2 linked regions of the Danio rerio genome follow. The protein of the gene in region 2 purifies or fractionates together with the protein of the main gene of each other region. This does not show direct contact. Links are inferred from orthologs where the notes say so. Each region holds a gene or a part of one and is shown on either strand. Other genes may lie near its edges.

Region 1 (3,285 bases), on a different chromosome or scaffold from region 2:
TAGTGTTTGCCTTGTGTAGTGAACTGTAGCTGGAGGTTTGGAGCGATGCAGCTCGCTAATGCTCTCAATCCAGTTTTCTATAGCTTTAGGGTTCTTCTCAGGGTTTTCAATGCTCTTAATTTTCACTTCCTGTGAAAGAGAAGTGCATCACAGTGTTATTTTAGTTGTCAGGCTGCAATCTTCAAAGTGTCTTCATTAGTCTTCTAGTGCGTGCGAAGACTTACTGTGACGTTGTGCTGTTTGCTGTTCTCTGAGAGCCACAGGGAAAGCACTGTCGGATCTGACTGTTTAGTGCACGGCTCATCCAGAACCAGCAGACCCAGATTGTCAGGCTTTCCGTCAGGCCGTGGTACCTGTAAAACGCAAAGAGAAAATGTATAATGAAGCTGGAAATGCAGCAGTGCTTCAAGTGTGAGATGTTTAACTTACTTTGAGGAAAGCATCAATGTCTCCCACAGCTGGGATAAAATCGGGGATAAAGGGTTTCAGTTTGTGGTCAAGCTCTATCGTCTGTGGAGTGTATCTAAAGAATACAGTTTACAATTAATACCAGTAAAAAGTGAAATGACCTTGTTTTGGTTGTTTCTTCAAGATTTTATTTTTTTTTTACTTTCTGAAGATGATAACTTAATGGTCTTAAAAACCTTTTACATATTTATTTTTACAAATTTAAAAAATGTGATTATATTTAAATAACTGTATTTATAATAATTACTTTATACAGTCAGAATTATTAGCCCTCCTGAATTATAAGCCCCCTGTATATTTTTTCCACAATTTCTGTTTAATGGAAAGAAGATTTTTTCAACACATTTCTAAAAATAATTGTTTAAAAAACTTAAAAAATATATACAAAATAAATAAATTCAATAAAAAAATAACATCATATAAATTGAGTAAGTAAACCAAACCAAAAGACATACAAGAAAAAAGGGAAGTAAAAAAAAAGAAAAAAAAAAAAGGTGGGGGGGGGGGTGGGGGGGATGGTTGCTAATATCATAGCCTTAATCATTATTTTGTCTCGTTACATGTTTGCTAACATTTTGGGTCGCTGAAATTTTACCCATTTATCAAAATAAATTTAAATTCTTCCATGTAAACTGTAGGAGAGTTTTTCAAAAGCTGCAACTTGTCCTAACCCTGAGATCCACTCAAAGATTGAGGTCAACTGGAAGATTTCCAGTTTTTAACAATCACTCATCTGCCCAGCATGATACAGCTCTGTATCCACTGTGATTCAGCTTTATTCATGTGGCTTAAGGGACAGGGGTCACCAAGCATGTATATAAAAACTCATTTTTAATAACTGATCAATTTTATCTTTGCCATGATGACAGTACATAATATTTGACTAGATGTTTTTCTAAACTCTTCTATACAGCTTAAAGTGACATTTAAAGGCTTAACTGGGTTATTTAGGTTAACTAGGAAAGTAAGGGTAAATAGGCAAGTCATCTCCTTGAGTAACAATGTTTGTTCTGTAACCAATCGAAAAAAGGAGGCTAATAATAATGACTTTAAAATGGTTTTCAAAAAAAAAATAGAAAACTGCTTTTATTCTAGCCGAAATGAAGCAAATAAGACTTTCTCTAGAAGAAAAAATAGTATAGGAAATACTGTGAAAATTTCCTTACTCTGTTAAACATTGTTTGGGAAACATTTGAAAAAAAATTACTTGAGGGCTAATAATTGTGACTTCAACTGTACATAAATATCATGTTACCTAATTGCTAATGATCTGTTTATCATTTTCAATCAAGCAGTAATTTTATAAAATTAAATGTACGACATATTACAAAAGACAGAATTAAAAGAGTTTAATTCTAAAACTCACAATCATTTTCACCAGATAATGCCTTTGAAAAAAAATAATTATTAGATGCTCAAAATGTTTGAATTATTCTTAAAGTTTTATGACACAATAATATTATTTTTTACAGTGTTAAGGCTCATTCACCAAGAGTGATAACTATAGCCCTAATGTTAGCATTAATGTAAATGCAAATTCAGCTTATAAGCATGCACTGCAGCTTTGTCACATTCCTTTAAACACTGTTTCTTGTAAAGGTGTGAAGTGGTTGCATGCTGACCTTGTGATATACTGAAACAGCTCTTTGATCTCGCCTGTCACAGGAAGATGCTCGTAATCAGCCGGGTCATAAGCACTATGAAGAGTCATACATAAATGCATAAATAAACGTACATTATGTTCAAAAATCATAAACTATCTTTTGGTTTAGTATAGATTATGTAGTATAAAGCACCACATACCATTATTAAAATACACAATATCCAACAACTAATCAATAATTTTGATTCATTTAGCTAAAAGAAAAAAAAATATGAATATCAGTGATTCTCTTTCATTATTTTCACACACACGCACACAAGAAAAGGTCCCATTTTATATTAAGTGTCCCTAACTACTATGTACTTACATCAAAAAAATAAATACAATGCACTTACTGTGTTTATAATGTATTTGAGAACACTTGTGGTGCTTTTGAGTTGGGATAGAGGTTGGGTTATGGACAGGTTTGGTGGCATGGGTAGGTTTAAGGGTGGGTTAAGGTGTAGGGAATGGTCAGCAGTGTATTTACAAATGTAATTACAAAAGTTAATTACAGATGTAATTACATACATGTATTTAATCAAGCATAAGTACACAGTAAATACATGTATTTACTTAATAAGTACATTGTAACAACGTAAGTACATGTAGGTACATGTAAGTTCCTATGTAGTTAAGGCCACTTAATATAAAGACCAAAAAAAATTGAAATACCTTTTGGTTTTGAGAAGATTATGTATTATAATGCACCAAGTACTATCATTAAAATACATTTTCAACAAATAATCTATCACTTTTATTCATTTAGCTAAAAGTAAATAAAATATTTAAGTCAGTCATTCTGTCTTTCTATTTCACCACAAAAAAAATGATAAAATACCTTTTGGTTTTAAGTAGATACTGTATTATAATCCTCTAAACACTAAATTTATTACTGAAACTTTACTTTTCTTTTTACTTTTTTTTTTAATTCTACTCCTTTCAGCAGACGGTGTGTGAGTAAATAATGGCTAGCAGCTCTACCCTTCTGGAGCAGATCCTGGCTCCTCTTCCTCCTCATCAGATTCTGTGTCATCAGAATCATCATCATCGTCGTCATCATCATCATCCTCATCTTCTTCTTCATCATTCTTATTAGCACCGCGGGGACCAGGTGGTGGCTCTTTCTTTCTCTGTTGTCAAATGTGAATGAGTTATGCATCGAAATCATAAGT
Region 2 (3,523 bases):
AACACAGAACACAAAAAGTTTTGTGCTTTTATTGAAAAACTCTATTAAAAGAGGACTTATGTCTGGGGTGCGGCCAATGGAGGACTTAACAATGATTGACATGACGAATTTCACTAAACTCCACCTGTTAATATCAGCTCCCTATATAAGTTGGTCAGGAAAAGAAAGTTGTTGCGCACCTCCTTAAAGTAACTTTTGCATTGCATAGATGATAACAGAATTCTGTGAATCAAATTATTCATTTGTATCCAATAAATTGTTACAATTTTTTGACCTTTTTTCTTGAACACGCATTGAATTGATTGAAAATTTCAACACTTTCATCGATTTTTTTTTTCGTTCTGATTGTTTCAACACAAAAACTAAATTGGTGAAAACAAAAGAAGATATTTTAAAGAATGTTAAAAACTGATTGTCAATGCATTCTATAGAAAGAAATAAAAGTTATGTGTAAGTATATGTAATGGCTGCCAGTTTACAAATATATGTTTTTGTATTATTTTTGGGTGAGCTATTCCTTTAATAAGATCCTCACAGATACCATCTTGATTTAATGTATATGTTTGTTCTCTAGGAAAAAGATTTTGACCAGGCTGACCGCTATGCAGAGCTGGCCATGAGCGCTGACCGCTACAACCCCGCAGCCCTCATTAACAAAGGCAACACGTTGTTTGTGAAGGAGGACTATGAGAAAGCAGCAGAGTTTTACAAGGAGTCTCTTCGTAATGACTCATCCTGCACTGAAGCACTCTACAACTTAGGTCTGATATCAGAAACATGACATCCCAAGGGGTTACACCGCATGAGATCCTTGCTACATTCAAAACTATTATTAATCTCTTTATCATCATGCAGGTTTGACGTATAAGAGGCTGGGTAGACTGGAGGAAGCTCTGGATTGTTTTCTCAAACTGCATGCCATCCTCAGAAACAGTGCTCAGGTCATGTACCAGCTGGCTAATCTGTATCCTTCCTTAAAATGTTACCATCACTATTAAATAAAAGCCTGTTATATAGTTACTTTCCAGTATGTAATTTGCCAATAAATGGCCTGACTTAAGAGGGAGAATTATAGTGTATGTTTATTTGTTTGGTAAGAGTCAATATTCCTGAAGCAGCTTTAGATATGAGATGTTGGAGGACCCTCATCAGGCCATCGAGTGGCTAATGCAGCTCACCAGTGTGACCCCTACAGATGCACAGGTGCTGGCCAAACTCGGAGACCTCTATGACAATGAAGGAGACAAATCTCAGGCCTTTCAGTATTATTATGAGGTAAACAAAAAATATATTCCCCTAAACCAACCACTGAATGGTTCAGTCTCATAGTTTAATCTCAAGTGATTTGGACATAAGGTTCTGCTAAATGACTAAATGAATGTAAAAGCAGGAGTAGAAACAGTTGAATTAAAAATAGTGATTCATTGAAATGTTAAATGTCATTCATATGAAATACAAAAATATTAAAGGGATAGTTGACCCAAAAATGAAAATCTACCGACTATTCACTCGGCTTTAAGTGGTTCTAAACCTGTTTCTTTGTTCTGTTCACAAAAGAATATGTTTTGATAAAAAATGTTGGAAACCTGTAATTACCGAATCCCATAGTAGGAAAAACAAATATGCGAATCAACTGTTACTGCTTTCCAACATTTTTAAAACATTTTGTGTTCAACAGGGAAAAATCACAGTTTTGTTACAAGTGAAGGGTGAGTAAATGATGTCAGAGTTTTCAGTTTTTGATGAACAATCCCTTTAATAAATCTCAAATTATTGAATGTAATAATTTAAGACATGTCAAGTAATTCATTGTAAATATCAATCATTTACATTTTTAACTGCAAACAGAGACTTGTAAAACTGCCTGTTTGTTAATTTAATAAGTTTGTTTCAATTATTTAAAAAAAAAAAGTGTAGTCCGAGCCATTGTTTGATTTTATTTTCCCCGTTCTGTGTTTATCTCTGACAAAATCTTTAAAATTTGGTATTAGAAAAAGAGAGAGACCTTCAAAACTATTTGCTGACATTTAAAAAAAAAAAAATTTTAACTTTAAGTTTATATGTAAAAGCTGCTCTGTGTCTGCTAAAATTCACTATAAATACATAATGTTGCATATAAGCCAGAGAAAACGTATACCTCTTTAGCCCTATTGTTAAAGTATGCAGTTATAATTGCAGTTTAAATGCGTTCTGAGCTGGATCAAACAGCCTGTGTAAAGACACCCAAATGCTACATCTGAGCCCCGTTTTAAGTATAAGTTGGGAATTTAAGAAACCATGTAACACAGTCAAGTTGAAGCTGCTCTGTGTCTGCTCAAAATTCATGATACGGACATAATGCTGCATAAAACCTGTTTAAATTATGCCTGCTCTGCCACTAGTATTAGTTGTAATTGCTGTGTAAATCCTTTTATTCCAACTTTCAGCATGATTATACACTGTAAAGCTTCTGTGCTATCTTTGTTTTTAAATATGGCAGTATTAAGATATGCCAAGATATTGAGATCACAGTATTGTAAATGATCAAAAACTGTTGTTAAAAGATTTTGAAAGAGGAAACGGGAAATTTTATTGAAATAATGCTGTTTATTTCAGTCGTACAGGTATTTTCCCTCAAACATTAGTGTCATTGAGTGGTTGGGTGCATATTACATCGACACCCAGTTCTGTGAGAAAGCAATTCAGTACTTTGAGAGAGCTACCCTAATTCAGTAAGTGGCTAAACTTCATATCTATTTACATGAATATTCTGCCTGGATCTGGAGATATATTCTTGATTTTTGTTGAATTTCAGGCCAACACAGGTGAAGTGGCAGCTTATGGTGGCCAGCTGTTACAGGAGAAGTGGTATGAGGTTAGATGTAATGACAATAATAAGAAAGTTCCATCTCAGTGCCATCAATTTTGTCACATTTATTTGTTTCAGGGAATTATCAGAAGGCACTTGAGACCTACAAGGAGATCCATCGCAAATTTCCTGAAAATGTTGAATGTAATGAGCTCAATGTTTACTTTGTTTTGATATTCAGTGCCCATCTCTTGACTTTACATCTCATATCTTTTTTTATTGTCGAGAAGGTTTGCGATTCCTGGTCCGGCTTTGCACAGATATGGGACTAAAAGAGGTGCAGGACTACGCCACCAAACTCAAGAAAGTTGAAAAAATGAAGGAGATCAGAGAGCAGGTACACGGTTTGGTCTTCCTGCAGTTTATATGCTGGCCTCTTCTGTGTCCTTAAATGGAAGAAAATAGGAGTAAAAGAGAAGAGTGAAGAAAAAACACATATAGCTGTCTAGAGGGATAATTCACAGTCTCTAAATCAAGTGTGTAGAGTTTCAATGTTTAGAATATAGGACTACAAGAAAAAGGAGATGAGCTGGATTTCTTTTTCTATTGGACACCCATGAATAACAATTGAGGAAGCTGTGTGTTGTTCTGGATATGGGTCAAAAAAATTGTCGCCCCATTTTGTTGACTGTATTAAAAAACATTTATATGCATAAAGCTTATATTTTGACCCTG

Evidence for each region. Proteins that work in one complex are often made in the same cells at the same time.
Region 1: the proteins of ift88 (region 2) and ift46 purify together in Homo sapiens (affinity purification with mass spectrometry; 3 studies listed by BioGRID and IntAct, with this or other methods). This does not show direct contact. The link is inferred for Danio rerio from reciprocal best matches to the Homo sapiens genes IFT88 and IFT46.

Annotation. Positions count from the first base shown.
Region 1 is NC_133185.1:34,664,266-34,667,550, forward strand, and holds part of ift46 (intraflagellar transport protein 46 homolog), read right to left. Parts: exon of another isoform or gene 3,244-3,285; coding exon 3,095-3,243; exon of another isoform or gene 3,057-3,094; intron 2,166-3,056; coding exon 2,091-2,165; intron 524-2,090; coding exon 430-523; intron 354-429; coding exon 225-353; intron 130-224; coding exon 11-129; intron 1-10. UniProt on the Homo sapiens protein: Forms part of a complex involved in intraflagellar transport (IFT), the bi-directional movement of particles required for the assembly, maintenance and functioning of primary cilia. May play a role in chondrocyte maturation and skeletogenesis.
Region 2 is NC_133184.1:22,989,330-22,992,852, reverse strand, and holds part of ift88 (intraflagellar transport protein 88 homolog), read left to right. Parts: intron 1-574; coding exon 575-761; intron 762-855; coding exon 856-964; intron 965-1,124; coding exon 1,125-1,275; intron 1,276-2,595; coding exon 2,596-2,711; intron 2,712-2,794; coding exon 2,795-2,847; intron 2,848-2,926; coding exon 2,927-2,992; intron 2,993-3,078; coding exon 3,079-3,185; intron 3,186-3,523. UniProt on the Homo sapiens protein: Positively regulates primary cilium biogenesis. Also involved in autophagy since it is required for trafficking of ATG16L and the expansion of the autophagic compartment.